2 linked regions of the Lepisosteus oculatus genome follow. The protein of the gene in region 2 purifies or fractionates together with the protein of the main gene of each other region. This does not show direct contact. Links are inferred from orthologs where the notes say so. Each region holds a gene or a part of one and is shown on either strand. Other genes may lie near its edges. The genes, in order: vapb and rmdn3.

The links.
Region 1: the proteins of rmdn3 (region 2) and vapb purify together in Homo sapiens (affinity purification with mass spectrometry; 4 studies listed by BioGRID and IntAct, counting the BioPlex papers as one, with this or other methods). This does not show direct contact. The link is inferred for Lepisosteus oculatus from reciprocal best matches to the Homo sapiens genes RMDN3 and VAPB.

The regions. Positions count from the first base shown.
Region 1 is NC_090711.1:1,776,856-1,789,783, reverse strand, and holds the start of vapb (vesicle-associated membrane protein-associated protein B/C), read right to left. Parts: upstream 6,450-12,928; 5' UTR 6,337-6,449; coding exon 6,279-6,336; intron 1,099-6,278; coding exon 946-1,098; intron 1-945. UniProt on the Homo sapiens protein: Endoplasmic reticulum (ER)-anchored protein that mediates the formation of contact sites between the ER and endosomes via interaction with FFAT motif-containing proteins such as STARD3 or WDR44.
Region 2 is NC_090703.1:17,032,844-17,045,750, forward strand, and holds the start of rmdn3 (regulator of microtubule dynamics protein 3), read right to left. Parts: upstream 5,692-12,907; 5' UTR 5,133-5,691; coding exon 4,928-5,132; intron 3,463-4,927; coding exon 3,285-3,462; intron 2,377-3,284; coding exon 2,230-2,376; intron 379-2,229; coding exon 117-378; intron 1-116. Other genes in the region: gchfr (GTP cyclohydrolase 1 feedback regulatory protein), read left to right, coding at 9,242-9,277, 10,510-10,604.

The sequences.
Region 1 (12,928 bases), on a different chromosome or scaffold from region 2:
AATGGATGCCCACAAGGCAGTGGCAACCTGCAGCTAATTTGAAATAACGGAGCGTTTTCATGCTTTCCAGGTCTCTAGGTCTGTCTTCTCATTTCACTATAAAAGCAATATTTTTTCCCTCTCGCATGCAACTCATACCACAACAGAAAGCTGACAGCATTAAAAACTTTGATTCTATTTGCCTTTCAGGGCTTGAGGCCTCGAGTGGAAATTTAGGTTTAAATACAAAACAAAAGACAAATCCACCACTTCATATCATCTCTGTCACCATCCTTATTGGCAGTAAGTCAATACGATCAACTTAGCCAAGTGTACCAGAGCACCCCCCCAGAGACTCTGCTCAAAGCGACTAACTCCTACTGGACATGACGGCTCCGATGCACGTTGTGTTAGTTTCTCAGGCTGGAAACCGCAGCTTTGGGGGTGACAGGCCCGTTTGTCGGCCTCTGCGAACGCGCTGGAGCTGCCTGACATCCGACGCCGTCACAGTAAGGGGAGCCCTGGACGGCTCATAGCTCTCCTAGCTCAGCAAGGAAACCTGATCCCTTCCCTGGTCCCCTGGACAGGCGTGGGCCTTACGGCAGGGAGGCAGCTGCAGGCCGGGCTGCCATGCTGCTGCTGCCCCATCGCAGGGTCAAGCTTGCCAACATGTACCCTGACAGCAGGTCAGACAGCCCCAGAGCAGAGCAGGATGTGAGCCTAGCGCACACAACCAACAGCTCCCTGACAGAAACCGGAGTCAAAACGATACCACCACCTGACTCCCTTTTATTTAAATGCTGAATTTTTCCTGACGTTTTGTGGTGATGTGCCCGGACGACCTGGAATCGAAGAAACAAAGTGCCCCCCCCAACCCTCTTCTCTCCCGACCCCCTAGACGAAGAGTGGAGAAGAAGAAAGGGGTTCGCAGACGAGAACCCCCCCCCCTCCCCCACTGGGACTCACCGGACACGTTGATCGATGTCCCCGCGTCAATCACGCCACTGTTCGGCCGGACGCAGTACCGGCGCGGCGCGGTCGTCTTCACTTTGAAGCACACATTCCTGTCTGTAGGGTTGGAGAGCTTCAGGGTGGTCGTGACGACATCTGTGAAGGGACCTGAGGGTGGTGACGGCAGAGGAAATTTAGCATGGGCGACTCCTGGCCCTTGCCTTCTCTCAAGTCAGTAAACACGTAAAAAGTCAAAGCAAATTCACGGTAAAAAAAAATAACATTTATAGCCACGTTTGACAAAAAAAGAACAAAGAAAACCAAAAGGTTTATGAAACTGCCCATGACATCAAGAACCAGAATGAGCATGAAACTAATGTAAACTACTGTGAAGGATTAAGTAATTAATTGGATGTTTTTGGATTAACACATCAAAAGCAATAAAGAATAAAGATCTATCTTTAGTCATATAATGTGACATGAAAGGAGGGTTCAGTTCAATACCCACTGCTGTGTAATGACTGTGCTTTACTGAAAATCCATGGCAGGAAGAAAAACTAGAAAGCCAAGACACTAGGTCCCAGCGGAGTAAAAAAAAAAAGTGCTGAAAGAGCAGCAATTAACCCTTTCCTCCCCCATCACCCTTGCTTGAGTCGCTCGGAAAGCTCACAGTTCCAGCGAGGCTTACAGGGGTGGGCAGCTGTGCTGTGAGCCCCAGCTGCACAGCCTGACACACGAGTTAACAGGCTCTGAGAAAATGGCGCCCCTGACCCTTCGCGCAGAGGCACGGACGTGCTCCGGGCGCCCGCGCCGCATACACGCCCACCTGCCACTTCTTCCACATCCCGCTCATTAAATATTACCTTTCAATTAATGTGAGGAGGGGAGGTGGGGTCTAACGAACCCACAAAAAGACAAAGGAGTGCATAAGCACCATTCTCTGCCTGCAGGTTTCCAACATCCTCACACCGGCTGCAGCAGGAAGACCTGATATCGTCCGTGCAGAGTTCACTGAAATCTAGATGTTGCATTTTGTGTTGTTCCAGAGCTACATGCCCATGTCAGCCTTCTTGTAAATCTAACACATGAAGAAACATGGCACTGCGTTCACACATCACAGCCCCTGCCGTCTGAACCTGACAACCCAAAACACCACAGCTTGAACATAGAAGATGCAGCAACTGGGATTCAAGCATGAAATATGTGGATCTGAATCCGCTACACCCCAGATAACCAGCCTGAAAGCTTTGTTTCTGATTTGCTTTGCACAAAAGAGGAAAATATAGGCAGGTTAAAAAAAAACTAAAAAGCAAGGTCCCAAAGAAAACAAAAGAAGGATTTTGTTTCAGATGTCTAGGCATGGTGTTTATTAAACACAATGAAGGACAGGTCTCGTGGTTTGTAAGCTTTTGTAGGTAGTGACACATCCTAAGCTCACACAGCTGGTGATACTCGCATAGACTCCCCAGAGCTCTCCCACAGAGGCCCTGCAAGCTCAGTTAAATTATTGAAGAACTCAGTTACACAAAACCTTCAGGCAGGATGAAGTCAACCACCTGACGAGGCTTCAGGTGCCCCATGTGCAAACAGCTGTGCTCACGGGAGCCATAGAGACCAAAGCTTCCAAGGAAAACCGTTGCATCAAACAACGCAGAAGGAAATGCAACACACAAATAGAACACAACTGCCATGTTCAGAACGACAGCAATAACTGTGTACATACCTTGAATTCAGACACTTCTCACAACTAACGTACAGACTAGAAGGGAAAAAAGGCTCACGATTTCTTATTTTTATATTTTATTACACATGAAATGGGAACCCGACTACCCATTGATTTCACAGCCTGTAAGACTGTTCCGGACTGTTGTGGCAGCCACCAGTCCAGATCTGAAAACATTCCAGTCGGGCACATCCGCCCGTTTGAATAAAACAGGCCGGTGGAGCTAATTAGGGTACAGCTCGTTAGAAAGCATGCTCCCTGCTGTCGGCAATTCAGACACCTCTATCCAATCAATACCACGAGCAATGCATTAATCAATAGCACCGCCGGGCGAAGAGGAGAAGCGAGCAGGAAGGGACGGAAAACAAAGACCGCATGAGGGCTGATGAGATGCTGGACAGCCGCAGCAGGGCTCGGGGAATGCTCTCCCTGGATATCCATAACGTGGGGCCACCTGCCCCACGTTAACCTCTCAAAGACACCACGCCTATTTTATTTACTGCTCTTGCAATAACTCTGGCTTCTTTTTTCACCTTGTTATCGTTGACAGCTTCAATCGAGATTATTAACTGGATTGAATAAATAGCTGGAAGACATCCCTGGGCATCAGTCGTTTGGTGAACAGACATATTTTAGCTTTAAGGGACTTCCGGAAGCGGGTTCTTCATCTGAAAGGTTCAGAGTGGTGCCCAGGAATCATTCAGCTGATCACAGTAAGAATTCCTTGGGGTATCCCTTAGAGTCTGTTCGTAAAGATAAGCGAGTTCACAAGGACCAGAAAGATCCTGTTGCTGTAGTTAAAAGCAGTACTGCAAGATTCATACCAAGAACCACACATTTACAAGAAAGGAAAAGAAACAGGAAAGCTTCTGACTGTTTCTTTGGCTCTTGTGCACCTGAATTAGTGAAATGATGGACAGGGCCAAAGGCAGGAACTCACCTGGATGGCAGTGAGTGGTGTTAAGAAGTGTGAGTGAGACTGCGTACCCCGAAATGCCACACTAGCATCAAAGGGCTTTTCTTGTATTTGCACAGCTTAACTTTATTACTTAAAAACTCCTTGGAACACCCTGAACCACTGGAAGCACCAAAGACATTTTTCTAGATTCCCACCTAATTACATTTAATTGTCTGCAAAATATTTCCGATAAAAGCTGTCCTTGAAAACAAGGCAGATCTTTCAAGTGGCTCTCTGGAGGAAATTCTATGGAGCTCTCTCGGGAGAGAGTTCACCAATGCAGGGCCTGTGCCAAATATTAGCAGCGCAGTTCCATTCAGGAAAAAATGCTCTGACCTGGACTGGCTAATCGCTGGAGGAGCTCTCATCTCCACTATGTCAACAGAAGAAGAAAACCACAAGAAACTGCTTGGCAACAGCCTTGAAAAATAGCCCCCCAAAAGTTTTCAGTCGCACAAAAGAAAACCACAAAAAGAAGCCTGTCTGAAGGACACAGATGATAAATCAATGACTCAGAATGGAGGGAAAAAAAAAGATTTAGGAGCTGGATGGTAAACTATCTTTCCATTTTCAGATCAGAAGGGCCTGAAAGTATTCTCTGCCGAAGGGTGAGAGCAGTAGCCACCCCACAGGGCAAAGGGCACTAAAAACAGGGAGCAGAGAGAGCCGTGCTGGCAAGATCAGAAAGTGGGCGCAGTGCAACAGAGCAGTATAAACGGGTTTCAACACCAACATTCGGCATTCCTCCTTTATTCAGACACGAACGCTAACTTCTGCCAAAAACCTAGGAAGGTCGGACAAAAAATTGATTTTATTTTTTTACAGTTGTGTTACAATTAATTGTGATGAGTCCCAGAGGGACTCAATCGTCTAAAAAAAAATGTTCACCGTCACCGAGCCACACAGGTGTGAGAAAAATAAATGCAGATCTGAATGGATTAAGATAAAGGTTTATTTGCTTTGGAGGCTGAAGCTTAATGCACATATAAAATGCTGCAGGCCTACACTCTAAAACACAGTCTTACAAAGCCACGCAGACAAAATAAAATACCCACGGTCTGACACACGCAAGCAGGCAGCGACTGAGGGGGCACTTCTTGACCCAGAGGCTGATGGGAGAGCAGAACAAGCTGCCCACCCACCCAAGCGTGCCATTAAAGATGACACCCCGGGCTCTTCCAAGAAATGGCTGGGTGACCCGACTGGTTCTGGTCTCATTTGGAAGCGCTGTTATTTTCATGTCACACGATGATCGGATGGCCCGAAGGAGCAGAAGGGAGGTCAGCAAGACGGCATGTTACCATGGAATTTAGAGGTCCAAGTTTTTATTTTTCCCCGGGAAGATCCAGGTTTTTACACGGTGTGTGTCTGTATATGGAAGAGCACACCTGTACAGCAACACATTTTTACCTTCAAGGAATTATATACCATCACATCCGCAGCGGGTGCAGGGTGCAAGTGAGGCCACCAGACATTCCCAGCTAGTGGACTGTCCAGAGGCTGCGACATGGGCCCGGTCACTCAGGACTCCCCGGGATGACACAGCCTGTCCACGAGCCACCTCCCTTTGCGTTCTGACAGGGCTGTTGACCCAGCTCACGCCAAGACATCCTGGCCTCTGCCACTGTATGGGCTGGTCACCACCGAGCACGTGTGGGACATCCTATTCACTGCCCTGGGCAAAACCACACCGCTAATTCCTCTCCAGTGTCCAGAGTGGGTTGTAATCCCACCAGCCAGGAGTGAGGATCTGATCCACAAGCTGTACCAGCACATTGCTGGCTTTAAAAAGAGGGAGAAACTTACACCAAGAAGAAGTTTATTTACATATGACAGTCACCATTTCAATCTCTGCACAGGAGCATCTGCACGACTGCATCTCTGCAAGTACGCTTGACTGTTGTACGTGCTAAACACCCATCTAAATGCACACAGAGCTGGACTGACATGCTGATCCCTCATAACGTAAGGCTCAGAAGGCTGGTTGTTGTGGCCTAGCCTCTACAGATGACCGCTCCTTTTCGCACAAGCCGGCCGGCCGGCCGGCCGCCCGTCGCAAAACAAGAAAACGCAAACGCCCCCCCCCAAAAAGAAAGAAATCAAACCCACAAACGAGATCAAGCGCTGGAGTGAGGCGGCCTGTACACCGTGTGCAAGAGCCGAGCCGAGCCGGCGGCGCTGCAGCACAGACGGCCGCTTCCCCGGAGACGGGCCGCCGGGCGACAAGGAAGCAGAGGCGCTTGTGATCCCGCTGCAAGACGGTGGGGGGCTGGGGGGGTTCAGGGCAGAGTCATGACCCTAGTCAACCTCTCCGAAAGGGGGGGGGGGACACATACACACACAGCGCCAGATACGACTTCCCTGCCGTGTCCTAACGCCTAGGCCGCGGGACCAAACAGGGTACGCCGAAGGGGAGACGGGGAAGGAAACGCGGGGGGCCTCTGCACAGCCCTGCCTTCCGCGCCGGCGAAAGGCTGCCCGGCGGCACGGCTCCATCTGCGTCTTCCCCGGCGACCGAAGGGCCCACACCAGCCCGCTATGCGCGCCGCCCACCCCCCTTATCTCCTCAACATGGCCGCCGCCTTCAGAGGAGCCCACCGCACACACCGTCGGCTGGAGACGGGCGGGCGGGCGGCTCTGCTCGGGCCCGCCTCTCCTCCTCCTTACCTCGGAATTTCAGTTCGTGCTGCGGCTCTAGAAGGAGGACCTGCTCTTGCCTGGCCATGTCCCGGCGGTTCGGAGCGGTTCGGCGGGCTGTCGGTCCGGGAGCGAGGGGGGTGAACGGTCGCTCGGTTGCGGGGAGCGCGGCTCGAGCTGCTAGCGGCAGTGATGATGCAGCAGGAAGGAGGTGAGAGAGAGGCTGCCGGTGACGTCACGGCCCCTGCATTACCCAGTCGGCGGGGGGGCTCCAACTGGCCCCGGGTGCAAGGTGTGTCTCTCTCTCTCTCTTCCCCCACCTAGGCTACAGCACTGAATAACCGATTCAAAAAATAATGACCAAAAAATATATATATTTTGCATCGGGGGCCCATTGTACAGCTTCAGGGTTAAGAACAGTGTTAACAGCGCACCTGAGCCGCTCCTGTGTTAAGTTGCATGAGCTTCAGGAGTGTTTTACCCATCTTGAGGGAGTACAGAGATGGTTCGATCCGTTTCGGGTTCCTTTGTTTTTGTTTTGTTTTTCCCCCACGAGCTCCCGTTGCACACGTTTTACCGATGCAAAAGAAAAGTACGGGGGTCAGTTTCAGCTGTGCTGTAGCGCAGGGTCCGCGTCGCTCCGCCGGTGGGCGTGGTGCCAGTCTGAAGGGGTGGAAGGTCAGGGCGGCAGGACTCTGGCCTGCTCAGCACAATTCAAAGGGCAGCGTTGAGCGGGGAGGCACATACCTCCAGTACGACATATATAGAGATGGAAGCTGCTGGCTCTCAATCTCACTGATGTCACCGTAACTTTATCCTCCTGCTGCCAGCGAGTAATCGCAGCTCCCCCAGCGGGGGAACATTCCGCAGAAAGATCCCCTGGCCGTCATGTGGAAGAGTTAGGATAAAACATCGACATTTTCAGATCAATTACTTGCATACCTTCTAACCTCTTGGGATTGGGATTTAAAAACTTTAATGCGACGATGGATTTGGACTCATATGGTGATTTTATCAAGTTTTTGTACAGGTATAAATCAAAACTGTGTATGTGTGGGTTGATTAGGGGTGGGGTATACTGATTGTTCGCACTGGTTTGTAATTGACAGTCATTGTTTTGCTGGGTAAAGATCTCTTTGTACATCTGTACCAAATCCGGATTTTAATCTTTTCACAGGCTTCAACAAAAACTTGATCTGATGACTTTGTGGGAAGCATGGACATCTGGTCAGAGGGTACTAAAAGAAAAAAAATCCAATCTGAAACTTTTTTGCATTGGAACAGATGCCACTGACCAGACGTTGTGTTCTTTAATAAATGTTTTTATTAGTAAACAGCTTGACATTTCCCTTTTGCACATTCAGAAATACATAGTAAAGTGATTTCAAGCATTTTTATTTGTACAATCGATATGAAAATATTAAAGCTCAATATGACAAATTATAGATGGAGTATTTTTTGGGTGGTGCCTTTGCAAACAACTCATGGTAAATAATGATATGACTTAGCTCACCTTCCAAAACTGTATTAGGGTATTCACGTATTTATATATACGTTTGCATGGTATCTACATTAAAACATTATATAATTATAAGGGAATTGCTACACTGTCTCAGGACCAGCCCGAGATAAGGAACTTCAAGAGATTTCTTCAACATTGTTTATGTTTATGACTGACAATCTCCTTCACACAAAAAACACTACATATTGCAAAGCAAAAGCATCACATTTCATGCACAGAAGCTAAGCCAATGCGTTACTGCGCCTGATACAAGCGGTTAAATATTCTACAGCAGCTACGATATGAAGGCACCAGACCTGTTAGCATCACTACTGCAAACATGAGCGAAGCACACACGCTGTCGTACCACAGTGCTCGAACAACAGTTCACCGATGCAGAGCCGCCTTGCCCTTCCCAAAGGCAACACGGAAAACGGCACATCCAGGCTCAAATTCCAAAAGAATGAAGACTCGGATGTGCATCTTTTATCATTCCTCAACACACTGCACTGTTTTAACACGCTGATGAAAGGTTTGATCCGTAGCGGAAGGAAGCCTTTTGAAAGCAGGTTGGTTCCGATGGCTAAAAGCTGGTGATCACTGAGGCAGGAGCTCTCCACTCCTTCCCAACGCTTAACGATTCCCATACAGCCCCAGCAGAACACACTAGACAGCAGTGCTTTACTGCAAACTTGCTACACCTTACCAACAAAGTAAGCGATGATTCACAGACAACTGGACCAAAAAATAAGGAACCGAGTATCTAAAAAACAGAAGGCTTTGACTTTAAAGCACTTTCCAACACAGCAATATCAAGGGACATCTTTCTGCAGTCAGGCAGAATCACTAACAAACCTTTTAACTAAAGTGGTAACATTTTCACTACAAATGAAGCCTATTTATAACACCAAATTTGTATTCCGCTGAAAAAAAATGTCTCTTTTCCACACCTATATTAAATCTCTTGCTTGCACCTTTAAATTTTTAAAATGTAGCACTTCAGAAAGCTCAGCCGAAAGAAGATAACTGTTCATGGAGCAATTAAAATCATTATAATATTTCGCTCCTCAGTGTGCGTGCCCTGGTGTGACTGAATAAATAACCAGTCTGAAATCCACAAATAATTTAAGCAGAGAAGCATTTTTGACTGAAAGCTGATGTACCGTACAGGGAAGACTGACTCTCACTGGACTAGTTTGTACTTAAATCAGACCTTGCTCTGGGTTTGGATCAAAGTCCTGCTGTTGAGCCAGTGTCTTAAAGATGTGGCTCTAATGTGCTGCTGATAAAAAAAAGCAGCACTCCTTGGAATCCTGCTTGGAGTCAACTGCATTACCTTTGGAGACCTCTCATCTTCACCATGGCTCATTAAAACACATCTCTACACTGCCTCATCAGGAACAATCTGCACTGCTGAGGCGCTCAAAGGTCTACAGGGTGGCAAAGCATGAATGCAAGATATCACTGCACACTCACGACTTTAAAATAAAGCTTTACACAAAATCACAAAGTGCGAAACCAAAAGCCACAGACTGCCGCTCAAAAAGCATAGGTGGCTTATGTCCAGACATTAAAAATGACTTACAGCTTCACTAAAGAGTCCCTTTAAAAAATGGGTTGGTCCATCTGTGTGCAACATGCAAATAAAAAAGTCACATAAAAAACACATTTAAACAATCTGAAACTCTACTGGGTAGTTTTCTTTCCTGAAAAGACAGTAGAGGCTGGAGGCACACACTTCTCTTCAGGAGCACAAGGGCCTGTCATACTGCCTACACATGCTTGTCTGAACCACTGAGCCAAAACATGAGCTCCTTTCTGGTTTCTGCCTGTAAATAAAATAAAATTGCATTGACAAAAAAGAAGAAGTTGAAGCAGTGTCTAACATCAGCTCCACACGAGGTATGGCTACTGCGCTTCAATGCAGTTTCAGTTTCTGTGAGAAATGTATACAGGTGGAAACAGTGGTGGTTTGGGTTGCTTTAGTGTTAAAATTAATAACCTGATTACTATGTCAGATCCAATTGATAACATTTCCCGTTCAAACAGCATTCGGCATCTAAGGAAACGCATTATATTGAAAATCGATAGATATTCAATTACTCTCCCTTTGCTCTCATTAACAGAGCAACAACAACAATAAAAGCCATTCAGCAAAAGTAGGCCAGAAGAAAAGATCAAACAGCTCAGCTGAAAGGTGGAGGTCAGATGGAGGTCATACTTTCCCAGACTGCATTGTTGACCAAAGATGCATGATTTAAGGCAAGAATGACTCCACCACTGAAAAACATGTGAGCGTTTTTGTGGATCAATTCTTTAATTTCCACTTTCCAAGTAAAAGCTGTCCTCTGTCCCCACTTGCTGCAGAGCAACAATAACATCTCTTAAAACTAACCTTGCTTGAGAAATGCCCAGAAGACATTTCTTTTATCCTATTTAAGTGATTACAAAACCAATTAAGAAGCACCACACAGCATCATAAACAAGATCATTGTGTTACAGGGCTCTTGCGCTTGTATTTTCTTATTTTGAATGGGTTTTTTTTTTTGCTGAAAAGATGAAAATCCAGTTTTGCTGCAGAGCTTCTCACAGATATGGAGGGTTATAAATGCAGGGCTTTTTCCGTTAATATTCTCTAGCATGTCCTAATCTGTAATAATCAAAAGCTTGTTTCACAAGAAAACAGTGCAATAGCTCAGTGCTAAACTTCATCAAACAGCCATTGGCCTAGGTATGAAAACCACCTCAACAACAACAAAGCGAAAGGCATCTCCTTAGGGATAAGAGCTCCGGCACTTGGATACAGGGAACACTACAGGAAGAGCTGTAGGAAGAGCTGGGATAGACACGCCACTGGTTTAAAAAAAGTAACCAGCTCACAGGCGTAACTTCAACTTTTGTTATCCAGCCACCTTTCCATTTATTCACGCAGAACTGGAGGGGGCAACAGGCAGGCGTCCCTGCGGGCTCAGAAACTTGCTTAAAAAGGCTTTCAAGTGATATGAACAGTGTGCTGCATGTTAAGGTATAGGTATGACTGTAAAACAAATTAAGGTATGGTATTAAAACTATTTTTTCATCAATGTTTTAGCCTGCGAAGGACTGGCGTCCCATTCAGGCTGTCCCCTGCCTTGTAGCCGCTGCTTGCTGGGATAGACTCCGGCTCCCCTGCAGCCCTCACTTGGACGAAAAGGTTAGAAAACGGACGGATGGACAGGTCATTTGTAACCACAGGTGTACCAGAAAAAAGGGCGGAATTCATATTGCAGGAGCCTCTGAAACCTCCTAACAGCAGGAGAAAGCGTGGGTGCAGCAGGTGATTTGAAAAACTGGCTGGATTCTTCCCGAAACTTTTCTACTTTCCAGATACCGTACTTTGCTTTTCATCCCCGTCCAGCTCGTAAAATCAGTTTGGAGCTGGAGGGGAACTGACTTATTCTGTAAAAGAATAAGAAAGAGGTTTATAGGACAATTAAGGGACCAGCAGAAGCCCTCTAAACGCATTTCTCCTGTTTGAGGTGAACAAAAAACCCCGCAAGGGGCCAGAGAGGACCTCTGCCAGCGAACGCCGCGCAGCTGAAACAGGCTTTTTAAAAACATTAGCATGACTGACACAACGTAAAACGGGTTGGCTGCTGACTGGCTGGACCGCAGCCGGGTAATCCGTTCGCAGAATTCCAAAGCCTGGCTCGTTTGCCAACTAGTAAAACCGAAATGAGGAAAACATTCCAACCGCTGGAACAGAACCTGTGTCGCACACATGGCCGCCACCAGTCTCCTCTGCCGCCTTACGAGCTCGGCTCTGGCAGCCAGACCGCTGCTCCACGGTCATCAGTTCCAGTTCTGGTTTCCCTTAAAAGAAGACAAACTCAAGATGTTTCCAAAGTGTCCTTGTAAGTACATCACACAAAAACACCAGCCAACTGTACGGAAACCTTTTCAGTTGTTGCGACAGCAGAATAAATGTGCCTACTGACCTAAAACAGCCATGTGTCAGCTTGAAATCCTGGTTCCTCCTTGACGCGGGTGTGCTCCTCTCATGATCAGTTCTCATTGGAGCTCAGAAAGGTCGCAAGTGAGAGCAGGCCATTCAGCTCGTCTACACCCAGCTCGTTTGGGTACTTCTAGCTAATTATGTTGAAATTGGTTCAGTGAAGGTTCAGAGATAAACTCTGTGGCGAAAGCAATCGAGTCCAGTGAGACACGCCATGCCTGGCAGGCCAGTGGCCCAGTGAGCACGAGTGAGCATGATTGTGAGCAGGGAACAGCGTGAGAGAGACAGGCCGACTGGTGGGAGCAGTGAGCCCTTCCTATTGGCCTGTTCCCAATCCGGTCACTTAATCCAGCAGAGCCTCATGAAGAGGCGGGTCCTGGGGGCAGGGAGACCAGCAGACAGGAGTTGTAAATACAGAGGTTAAGTCTTATTAGCCGTTCCCATTTTTAAAAAAAATCTCTCTTGTCCCGAACACATGGAGAGACCCGGCCTGCCCACGAGCCATCGGGCCACCAAGCTGACAACAAGAGGGAATATTGGACGGCCACACCAAAACACAAAAGAAACAGACGATCCGGTCACACCCCGGCCTTTCCATGTTTGAACTTTTCCCCGCCCCACCCCGGCTCCCCTTGACAGTACACAATTATAAACTAATTCCCTTCTCAGTGGGAATTCCATCTTCCAGTCCTTCACAATTCAGTGCTGAAGTCCACCCCCTGCCTCATGGCTCAACCAGTATTTCCAGGGAAGTTCTTCTGCTGTAACCACGGGTGATGCAAGCCACGCCCCCAGTGACATCACGTCAGCCGCCTGCTACACCATGAGGGCACTCAGCTGCTACACTGCCACGCCCCCACTCCCAGCTTCCTGCCTGCACCCTTGCAGAGCACGGCACGCTTCTGAGGGCGGGAGGTGGGCGGGTCAGTCAGAGGATTTTTTTAATTAGCCATTAAATTAGTCTCTTTTCCCCAAAAGTACTTTGCCATACCGTGACACTTGCATGCAGGAGCAATTCATGCAGGCCTAATTACAGCTTCTTGTGGAAAAGAAACCCAGAAGATTTACAGGTGGAAAATTAAAAGGGGAAGGGAGTTTTGGCACAGTTCAATAATCCACAGTCATCTTGCGTTCTTCAAATTAAGCCAGCAGAAGAAAGCAGCACAGCTCATGGAGGAAAAGTGC
Region 2 (12,907 bases):
ACTTAAAGCAGTTGTTTTAAATATGCCAGGAGTCAGTTTATCTTCATGGCCAAAACTCAATTCACTTCTGTACATTTCTTGCTGTTATACCTGTTGTCACTCTAGTTTGCACCTACCAGGGGCTTGTTTGTGAGCAGCAGGTGAAAACCTTCAGCCTTCTCCTCCTTGGCTCCAGAGTGCAGCCTGTCACTCTGCGCCAGCAGGAGGGATAGCTCATCACTGGGCAGTTCGAAGTCAAGCTGGGAGGAAGGCTCATCGTCATCCAGGCAGAGCGAGTCTCGTCGAAGCGTCCTCACCGTTGCGCAACTCTCATCTTCCTCATCCGTGTCCTTGTCCGTTTCTCCATTGTAATCGGACTCGGCGTTAGCAGTCGTGTACCTGAGAAGTCAAGAAAAGAGAAACCTTTACTGTTCATGAAAACATTTTGAATATGTGAATGATAACAGAGCCCTGGGATGGACTGCTGCTTGCCAGGATAGGCTCCAGCTCCTCCACGACCCCAAATTGGATAAGGTGGATAAGATTTCCTTACTTAATTTTGGCATGAATGCAGGACTTAGATTACAGTACATTACATTACCACAAGAAAGATATTTTTTTTTGTTGTCATCATTTTAGCAAAATATTTCCAAGCACCAATTAAATTGACAAATGTATCTAACTTTATCAACATTTGTCTAAAGTATAAAAATAAATGACCTGACAAGACATGAGCCAGAAAGCAAAAAAATTAAAAAAGAAAGTTTGGGATTGTAAAGGTTATCATGCACACCTTTGGGTGGTTGTGCTTCTTTGACATTTCCTAATTATAATCATCATGTCTTTGATGTGTTGAGTGATGGGAAAAAAATACTTCAAAAGAAGAAGACACCCATGTTTTCCCTTTCTGATAAAAGCGTAGTTAAAAGAATAAAAACAATGACAGGCTAAATGGCTCCTAAGTGCCCTGCAATTTTCTGAAGAGATCTCCTGATGCGGTTGGATCTGTGCCACCTTTAGCTAACTGACCTGAATTTTCTAAGGTTTTTTTTCCACCTTTGTTACAAAAAAAACATAATACAAGCGTTATATAACACCCAAAGCTTTTTTTGGCTCACATGTACTCTATTAAACAGCGCACTTCACAAAAATAGCTCCTCTGCACTGTTTCGGAAGGGGGTGACCCTGAAGCCTCACTCAAGAGGTTCCAGGGAAAATAACCACTTTCCCATCATTGTTCTGCTTCTTTTCCTCAAAGTCAGGAAGTAGGGAAGTTTTTAACACTTCTAACGTGAAGCATCCCTGATGAGGGCACGGCTAAAACATCGGATGCCGAAACAAGAAAGCCAACAAGGCCTGCGCAGGCAGGGCGCGTCCTTGTGCCAAGGATGGGCAGAGCTGCACAGCCTCCCTGCCTGCCACCCCAGTGCTTCCTCTCCACCACCGCAGGGAAGCACCCAGGTCAGTCCCAGCGGGAGCCCAGGTAAGAGTGAAAGTGCATTTGGACGCTAATAAGATGGAGCGCTGGAGCTGTAACAGGAATTCACACAGGGGCTACCGGAAGGTGGGGGCGGCTCAAGAAAGAGCTTCTGAAAGTGTGTTTTGGCAGGAGGGATTCTTAATTTGTTTTCTGCTTTCAGCTCGGTGCCCCTTCGGTTTCCTGTTTTCCTTCCTGGATCGGTACTCTTCAAATCTGCAGAGACAAATTCTTGAAAAAGAAGCTCCATGGGAACCCGTCTTTCAATCAACAGCGACTTGTCGCTTTGCCTGTTTTTTTTTTCCCCCCACTTTATCAAGGCCAACAACCTTTTCAAGTGTGCAAGAAGGAATGCAGGTCACGTGACTTATCCATGACGTTTCTACTCACAGTACTTGCAATATGGTACTTGCAATTTATGTTTGCATGAATGTGGAGGATCATTTAAAGATGGACATATCCTTCATATCTCCAACGATAAATAATTGTGATTGTCCATATGCTGCTTCCACCATAACTTGCTACCACCACTTTAACTCCGTTTTCTGCAAGATATCATCTTTCCTCAAACTTAAACTTTTAGAAAACAGCATTCTCAATCCTGAGGTGTGCACACATCTTAATCTCATTTTCGGCGCAGTTTCAATTACTGTTCGAAATGCTTTCCAAAATGATGTTTTGACTGTTCAGGGATCCACACGGGTTACCACACGAGAACTCTGAGATGCATGCAATACAGGCGATTTCAGAGACTTTTGACCTGTGAAACCTACCCTCCCTCACTTTCCCCATCGTATGCACTGGCTGGGCCTGCACTAGCTGAAAAGTAGATGGAGCTGGAGCTCATAGAGTCGGTGCGCTCCCTAGGCAGGAAGATTCTCCGTTTGCGTGCTGCCTTCTGACTCTCCTCCACACTGAATCTGCAGAACAAAGTGAAACAGAGACATAAGGAGGCTTCAAATTCTTTCACATACTGTGTTATTGATCTTCATGCATTAATCTATTGCTCTCAATACTGTGGATCACTCAATAATTTCAAAAAGGTTGCGTAATATCTGTCTTGATACAGTCTCACTTGTATGGTGTCGCAACTATTTCCAAAACCATAAACAATGTGTAAAACCCGACAGATATAATTCACAACCACATCCAGTTACAAACTGAGTCCTGCAAGTTTCTATTTTGAGCCCTACTGCTTTCGCCATTTATATTAATATGGTTCAGGCAATAGGCGATCTTTACTTTTCAACTGATTATGCCATTTAAGCACACTTAGACACCTCATAAGCAAATTTACAGACTCAAAATTGGGAAAACACCTCTCTAATTTATTGCAGTTCTCAGTTACATCTTTCAATTTAAAATGTAGTACATTCAACAAATTTAACTATCCAAGAAGAACAATATAATTTTTAAACTTATTTCAATTTGCCATATGTCATTCCTAATGAAGGGAATAATTTACAGAGTAAGCTGAGGGCATCTGCCTTTGTATTCTAGGGTTCTTTTAGTTTAATCATTTCTGCCTGATACTGACTAATAAATCCATATCCTGTTATGTTATGCCTTTTACATTTTACTGATTGCTCTCTTCTTTCTTTCACTACTATGTTTTCTATACTAATGCTGTATAAGCCTAAAATTGATCATTTTAAAAGGAGAAATTGTCTAAATTGACCTTTCTGGTTAAACACTAGGATTAAGTAAAAAAAATACATTGTGCAGGAAAGAAGACCCATTGCTCATTCCTTCATTTCTGTGCTTCTGCTTCCTCAGAAGGCATTCATGCCAGTTACCATTCCATTCATACAAGCATTTCTCTCCTCACTTCACATCCTGGACAATCTGGTCAGCGATCCCCTGCAGACCGTTCCTCAGGTCAGCCACTTCAGCCCGCAGCTCAGCCACACAGTGGAGCACTGCGTCCAGCCGGCTCCACAGCTCCCCCTGCTGTTCAGGCAACACACCCCGGTCTGGCTCCAAAGACAGTGTTCCAAGTGAAGACCCTGTACATGGGCAGATTGATTAAGATAGAGTTCAATCCAAGTTTCTGATACAGCACTATTCAACTATTCAATCAAAGTAGGCTTGACGGCAATAACTGCTAAAACTATGATCAGCCTATGACAGTTTCATGGCTTAATTAATTAATAATTAATAGTTTAATTTCTTAAACTGATGTACTTGTTCCTTCGAAAACACAGAAGCATCAATACACCACTTAAAACAGAGAAGGCAAAAAGCAAGAGAATGACTGCAAACACATATTATGTTTACAAAAACATAATAGCATGAAATTTAGCAAAAGGTATAAGGCCAGTGTGGAGAAAGAGGGAAAGAATCTGTGGGAGTCAAGGATGACATTTCACAATACTGTAAAGCCTGCCAAAATAAAGGAAACACCACTACAACGTGTTATTAGGATAGTGTGCTATCATAGGCCACCAGAACAGCTTCAATGTGCCTTGGCATAGATTCTACAAGCGTTCTGTTGTAGGGATGTGACAACATTCTTCCATTAAAAAACTTCATCATCATCTGAGGTTTTGTTGATGGTGGTAGAAAACGCTGTCTCAGACACCACTCCAGAATCTCCTATGAGTGTGCCATTGGGTTGAGACCTCCTGACTGGGATGGCCATGAGATATGGTTTAAATCGTTTCCATGCTCATCAAACCATTCAGTCACCACTCGTGCCCTGTGCAGGGGGGCACTGTCATCCTGGAAGATTCCACTCCCATCAGGATGACAATCGTGATCACTCAGAATGGCTTTGCCATGTAAGCAGTCAATGCACCATAAGAAACAAGCACTCGAGCCTATAGGCTTCACTTGGCAAGCATCACACAGGTACTTATCCGCTTGTTGAGAACAGGGCAAAGGGTGACTCATTTGACCATATGACTTTTTTCCACTGCTCAATAGACCACTACTAGTGTTCTTACACCACTTTACTTGCAAAAGTACATTTCTAGCTATAATACAAGATTTAAACACTGCAACCCAACCATGGTATCCCTCTCTCTGAGGTTGACAGACTGTACTTAATGAAACAGCCTTAGATTGACATTTGCAGGCAGCTGATTCAGAATTGTTGGTCTGTTTTGCTCATCTATCCTGAACCAATGCATGGATATCACAGGCAGGGAGTGTGCGCTTTCGTCCACAGTTGCCTCTAGGCGATGATGTCTTTCCATTAGACGGCCATGCCAACACCACTTTAGCCACTGTTCCTCGTGAAACATCAGCACGTTTCACAGTCTTTATCACTGAAGCTCCTGCCAAACATTCCCCAACAGTCACCCCTCTCTCAAAGCTACTGACCCTAAGCACGAAGTTAGGGTGTTAATTGCTTAATTAACTCAGGAACCATACCTGTCTAAAGCTGCTTTCAATATACAGAACACTCATTTGCTCAAGCGTTTCCTTTATGTTTGCAGCTAACTGAAATATATTCTGCGTGCGATTTACCTGTGATATCCAGGGCTTGTGTAGTGCTGTGAACTCCAGTCGGCCCATCCGTCCTGTGCAACGCGTGTGTTGAGTTGTTTTCCAGTCTTAGCTTTCGTACCTTCCTTTTTTTCCTCTCGTTGCATATAAAATAAATAATCAATCCAGCTCCTGCGGTAGCTCCCAAGCTCAGTACAACCAAGGTATTTGTTCCTAGTTTGCCCATTACAGAAAGAAGTCTTATATACTGTATATAATAGAAAAGTACACCAAATGGTTCTAATTCATGAGAGGTCCCAAATTAACGTTTGCTCTCCACTAGATGCAATACTAAAATATATCGGAAAACAAAAATATTAAGTTAAGAGTGTCGTTTAGGAATAACTAGAAATATATTATTTTGTAAAATAAAAGTTTTAAAATAAAAAAAAACATATGAATGAAGCCCCATGTAATTTATTTAGAAAGTGTCCGTGCTTTTATTTTCTAAACGCGCTTTAAAATATGGCAGTTTCAGTGTTTCTCCTTGAATTGCACGAATACACCACGCTTTCTCCACTCAAGCCGGTTGTCTGCGTTGTACTACACTACAGCCGCTGTCATCACGTTTACTTACACTAGAAAGCCTCTTGAAAACGTAGGACCAGAATCGCACGTTTTTCTTCGTTTTTGTCTAAGTAAAGATTATTATTTAACGTTTTATTAGCTGATATGATAATATCAGTTTCTATTTAGTATATGTGCTCACTATTTCTGTTTCGTTTTTTAGCATGCCGGGGGGAAAAAACTATAGTGTTACACCAAAACTCTTCCGTCTTGCAACCAAAAGCTATACATTTTTATACCTCGCCCCCACCGTAAGGTTAAAGTGACAGTAACCATTACGGACACAGGGTGACGAACATACAGGTCAACAAAGGTCGCAAACGAGAGATTGCCATTCAGACCGCAGCTCTCATTTGGTTGCAAGAGTAAATTAAATCATTTAAAATGTACTAATAATCCAAATCATATTATAGCAAAGCTGAATTATTTATAGTAGTAAATAGAACGTTTGAAAGGTAAAAAAAAAACAATAAAATGCTAATACTGTATGTTATACAGTACATTTTTCACGTTATGTGTTTAATTTCTTAAATTGATGTACTTGACCCGTCTGAGGAACATTATAAACCATTTTAATTTCCGAATTTATTACATAATTCAAATTGTTGTAATTTACTCTTTTAAGGAACAAGTAATAGGTTTATTACATGCTAAAAAGAGATGAGAGAAAACACAACGTTTTGGCTGTGAAGCCTTTGTGTAAGCTGCTCTCTCCTGGTGAGCATCACCCCAAAGCAATTTACAAAAAATCACAATGCTGTTACAATGGAATAGTACATACAATATCTGCTGAGAATTACTCTCCCAAGCCTTTTCAGAAATTTTATTAATTTTCTCAAAATATGTTTTTTTAAATGTATAAACATTGAAAACTGCTTACTCACTTGAGTCTAGTCATTATTCTTTTTCCACTGAGCCTTCGAAAGATACATGGAGAAGATATTTCTGTTGTATATTGACAGTTATTTTCAAAATCGAAGGATTTTTTATTGTTTATGAGCCTCAAATGACAAAGAGCTCTGAGGATATTAAAGACAGTATCTCAGTGTTGCCGTTTTCAGGGAAAAGGACATGAAGGTGATATTAATCGAAAGGCTTTTATTTTCACCTTCATATTTTCATTGTCAAAGCTTGCGCAATGCCTGTCTACTCCACTTGGCATTTTTATGAGTTTCCCTTTTCAGATCAGATCTTTTCATTTTACTGTGTGCATAATCCACATAAGTCTTCTTTGACTTAACCATTCTATTTTTAACTCAATTAAAGTATTTCAAAATTAGAACTTGTGTAAAACAAATGTGGATGGATACCCAACTGAAATATTTATTACATACCATTTATTAAATTTATTAGATTATGTATTGGTGATTCATAATTATTGTAACATCATCCCTTTTCATAGTGCAGCACATTTTTAACAGATAAAAGCAAATGTTCTCCAAATGGCGAGTAATATATTTTGATTAAAATCAGAGCATGTTATTTTTCTCTTGCCCTACAAATGAAACAACCTCAGCAAAGCAAAGCACTTCTTCCAACTTAAAACAAATACACATTGATTGATTGACTGACTGATTGATTGAGAAGAATCAGCTCTCCTATGATTAAAAGTAAAGACAGAACTCATACATATAAGATCTCTTGACATCTTTTGAGGCTTTACTGTATTTTTGTTTGAATTTTTTTATCATGGGAACATACTCATGTAAAAGAAGACATCAAGAAATATAATTACAAGTACACAACAAAGGGCATAGAAAGATAGATTATATGTGGGGAATACCCTTAAAGCACTCTCAAAACCTGAGGGATTATAGAAAAACTAAGACCACTTCTTGGAACTGAACTCTAGTCTTTCAAAACATCCATTTTTGTTGGGAATTAAAACAGACAAGTCTGCCTTTGGACAAAAATGAAGTATTACCAGAGGATTTCAGTAAAGGGACACCATAGAATCATGTTTCTCAATTAAACTGAAAAGTATTATGGGACACCAGGATTTGAGGTTATACATATTGACAGCCTTAAGTAATTACATTTTTGAAGGATAGTTCAAGTTTTCGCAGTTGAAAGACAAAATTAGAGCGCGGTAAGAAATCCTCAACATGTGCCCCTTTAGGAAAATTCACCATTGTTCTATGTCCGTGTTTGAGAATAAAACCACAGTGGATATTATGTGACTTTTCCAAACCACAGGATTAAAAGGGAAACCTGAGCCGAACACAGGAAAACCATAAGAGGTGGCAAATCATCCAACTGCCGTGCACTCAGGGAAGACCGGGTCTGATTGCAACATTTTCTGAAAATTCTTGAGATAACTCTTTCATCTGTTTTCCTGTCTGAAAAATAAACAAGCTTGTCTGAGTAGCTAAATTTCTGATGGACCCCCCTGCTATATTGATATATAGATATGTGCTGTGGAATTTTATTGCCACTTGTTTTTCTCTGTTCCAATGGTACATAAATGCTTGTGTTTGATCAATCTACAGTATATACAGTACAGCATATATATATATATTACAGAGCACTGCAAAATTATTCAGACCATTCCTATGGTATCCCATTTGGTGAAATTACAAAATGAGTCATACACGTTCTTTTCAATATAATACTGTCTTACATCCTTGAGTCTTTTTGGGTAAGTCTCTATCAACTTTTCAAAACGGCTTAGTACAATTTTTGTCCATTTGTCTTGACAGGTTTGCTCGGGTTCTCAAGTTGTTTGGGGACCACTTAATGGACAGTATTTTTCAAGTCTCTTAACAGATTCTCACTACAATTCGAACCTGGACTTTGACTGTGTCACTCGAGAACATTCACTTTCATAATCATAAGCCACTGCAAAGTAGCTTTGAGCTTGTACTTTGGATCACTCTGCTGAAAGGTCCATTTTTGTCCTAGTTTTAGGACTGAAGCAGATTTTTCCTCTAACATATACTGTACCTGTACTTTGCCCATCCATACTTTTCCTTCAATCCTAATAAGCTTTGAAGTCACTACTGAGGTTAACCTTCCCCATAGGCATGGTGGTGATGATGTGCTCTGCTGGCTTTTGACGATTTAATACACCAAAAAGTACTAATTGTGTCTTGTCTGACCACAAATCCTTTGTTCGCAGTATCACGTACCTACTGATGCAAACTACAGTGGGATCTGAGAATTTATCTTGGACGTTATTTTTTTTTTTCATTTTGACTTTTGCTCAATATGAGGAGCAGGTTATGTACAGTACGTAACAGACATTAATTTCTACTTCTAAGTGGCACGACTGCAAGCTCAAAGGCAACAAAATGTGAAGACGATGCAGGGGCTGAAGACTTTTGCAAAACACTATATTAGCCGTATAATAAATAGAAAGTATAATATATGGTGGTTTTATTATTAATATGTATTCATGCAAAAGTATTTATTGGAATTTCAGTGTGCTGGACTTAATGGAGAGTACAACTCTCTATTACACATCTAAGGACTTAGTCTGCTTGGAAGAAAAAAATGCTTTGCTTTCTTCATACAAATTTATTGCCGTTGGCACAGAAGTGTTTTTGTCGGCATATGATTGGTCCGTTGCGATGGGTGTTTCCGCATTCTGCTCTGAGCTGTCAGTGTAGGAAAGCTGTTGTGGAAGAGAGCTGCTTGCTTCATTAACCGGTTAGAGCTGCACTCGCCAAATAATCCTCAGGGGACGATTTGGAGACAACTGCGAAAGGGGGTAGAACGCCAAGTCCGAGGATGCCTTACGTGCTCATCAGCACACAGATTCGACTGGTTTGTAACATGCATCGGTTGCTCTGAGAACTAGCTTGAGTTAAGCGTCGCACCGTGATTACCATTTCAGGCTGGATAAGCCTTTGCTAACGAGACTTAAAAACGATAATGTCTTCTTCCCCGCCCCCAATGTTTGTTAGGTGCTAAGAAATGCTGGTAACTTTATCAAAACATACAACAATCCTTAAAATCCAGTGGTACCGAAAGAATCTTTAAAATGAATTCTGTGTCCTATAGACTCACCTTTGTGATATTCCGGTGTGGATGAAAAAAAATATAGTGTGGAAAGCGGAATGCACTGAGCAAATATTGCGTAAAGTGTTATAGTTTGTACTGCAAATTGTTAGACGTTTTGTAATAGAAAGGGTTTATCCAGTGTATTCTGTGTTGGATCTAAATTGAATGTGTTGTCTGTAAATCTCGTTGGGGGGGCGGGGCCGTTTTGTAAATGTAAAACAGACATTTTAAGGTTTACAAAAAAGCCCATCCTAAAAACTAGAAGCAGACGTGTTTGGTTTGCGATTCCAATACTGTAATTTACCATTGAGTTCATTCTTCCGCTTCTTGCCCGCGAATTCTCTGGAATTCACAAATAGGCGAAGTGTGTAAATGTTGATACATTATCTTGTGAAATGTTGATGGTTGCAGTTAGTTTTATTAGCGTTAAATGTTATATACTGTAGAACCGTTTTCAAACGTATTTATGTTTAGACTTCTTAAACTATTAGCATTAGATATAATATACTGTATCTATAGTATAAACTACAGTATAAAATGAGCTGTATGCATCAAAATATATTTATATTGTTGTGCGAAAATAACTAACTTGAAAAAATATTTTGAATCTTGTAAGATACTGTACAAAAACAGATGCTGTTACTTCTACTATTGATTTACACTTTGCAAAGGAGATGAATTATCTCGAGCTAGAACTCCAGGAAAAGCGTCTTTGGTCGTGAATCTGTTTATCGCGTGAAATATACAGTAGCTGAGGGATGTTACGGGAACAAATACGTCTTCAATTAAGAACTTATTCAAGTTTTAGGTTAAGTGTAGAACATATGATATATCTCATATTGTTGATGTTGTTGTTGTTGTTGTTTTCTGTTAGCCAGCAATAAAACTGCTGTCTCTCTCATATGGGTGTATAATAGTTGCATAACAAAGCAGTAGATGTAGTATTGATTTTAAAATGATATGTGTCTTTCCTGACTGTTTCTCTTGTGTTTCAGGAAACTGGTCCTACTATGGTTGGGGATGAATACTCAGACCCAACCCTTATGAATTACTTAGGAGCCAGGAAAACAACAATGTTGGGCAACAACTTGTGAGTGATATTATTTTGCTTTAAAAATGCTAAGATTACATGATTGGAGTGGTAAATACTCAGTCCATTAATCAAAACTCTGCTTATACAAATGAAATATGCTTATGACATATGCTTATGACATAGGTCTAAATCATTATAAGGATTTTGTACAAGCAATTTGACTGCAGGGCTTTAAAGACCAGAGGTATGGTAGAAATTGCCAGCTTAATTGGACTGTCAGTTCAGGAACATAACTATATGAGAGGACAAAACTGACAAATTAGTAAGAATATTAGATTATGGGTAGATTATGTAAAAACATAAAGCATTATATAGTATGAAATAAAAACATTTATATTTTGGCCTCTTTTTGGAAGATGTTTTGAAGTGAACTGAGGGAGAGTGTCTTCTGGTATTAAAAATCAGTTATGTCTGTAAAACATCAACACACCTTTCATAGAAATCCTACATAGGGTAGAGCTGATTAATTGTCCGTACTCAGCTAGATGAACAGAGAAATATACTGACCACATTCTCTTGATAAGTGCAAAATTTAATGTTAAGAAGTGGCCTCTCAAGCAGCTTATCCTATGTGTGAGAGAGGCATCAGGCTGGACATAATTATGTATTCCCTGATTGAGAAATAATGCATTTTAATTTAAATGAACATTAAAGGAGAAGTCTGATTATTAGTTTAATTCATTTAATGTAATTTCTGGCTCAAAGTAACTATTGTTTTTATTAGCAGTGTGGTGAATACAAATGTTCTGAATCTACCTTAGTATTTACTTTAACTAGTGCACTTAAATTCAAAGGTGAATACACTTTTTTACATATCATTCATGATGGGTGTATGTGTGCATATTACCTTTTTAAAAATTAGTTAACCTTTTTCACCGCCATGTTTCATCATTGTCCAATTATATATCTCAGCGATCAGTTATTATTAAAAACTTTGAAACTCAAACATAAACTGATTGCTTAACCCATCAATATGAGTGGGGTGTGGTGGGGAGAGCACATCTAATGATAAAATTGTGTAATGCCAGTAAACATTTTCTGTTATGTCTTGTTGCATAACAAAATTACACTCATCAGCCAGTGATATAAAATATTAAATCATTTTAGTGCTTTAACCATTTGAAGGTAATTATTATTTTAGTCAGTTTGTTTGTTTGTTTGTTTGTTTGTTTGTTTCAAAGACTTCTATAACACCAGATTAAGGGGAAATATTGACATCTGGTAAGTACTGTAGATGAAAAAAACAAGAAGCTTTGAAATAAAACCAGAGACACATCAGCTCCTAATTGCATTATGTAATAGTGTAACCAGCCAGCCAGAGCTGGTAAATAAAATGATTTGTGGGAACATCTGCATCTAGCATTCCTTGCATTGGTAGTCCTGTTATCATGATGTGAAGTTTTTTTCTTATTAGAAAAATATATAATAATAATAATAATAATTATAATAATTGCTTACACTTATATAGCGCTTTTCTGGACACTCCACTCAAAGCACTTTACAGGTAATGGGGACTCCCCTCCACCACCACTAATGTGCAGCATCCACCTGGATGATGCGACGGCAGCCATAGTGCGCCAGAACGCTCACCACACATCAGCTATCAGTGGGGAGGAGAGCAGAGTAATGAAGCCAATTCATAGATGGGGATTATTAGGAGGCCATGATTGGTAAGGGCCAATGGGAGATTTGGACAGAATAATAAAATGATTCTTGTTAACTGAAGTACTAGGAAAATAATTGGGAGACATTTTTTAAGCTTATATTCTAAAATTGTTTTTTTATTATGAGATGTACAGTAAGTCAAAAAATTCTGAGAACTAATCATTAGTTTGCATTTCATAGTTTTGTGTGAGTAGGTAGTATTTAATCCCTTTGTGTTTTTCTGAAAGGCCTCTTTCTTTAACAGTGTGGGCTTTGCATCATATTCCTTTGGCATTTAGTGTTATCTTTCAAAAACACCTTTCAGAATTACTGTGGAAAAGACACTAAAATCTCCAGTTTTAATCTTGGGCTAAACTACAGAGGAGTTAATATCCTGTCTGTCACAGTGTGATTGGTTTTGTCAGACTGTATGTTTTATCAGTGTCTTATCAGAAAGAACATTATACAGTTCACTTCTGTTTTCCACTGTGGTCTGTTTGTTGTCACTCTTAACACAGTAAAAAATATATATATATATCACTCTGAGGGACAATCGAATGATCTTTGAGCAGACAAAGGGAAAAAAAACCTTACTCACAAAAATAAAAGCATTACCAGATTTCGAGTCCAGCTTGCATTTTGGAAGCAAACCAGTA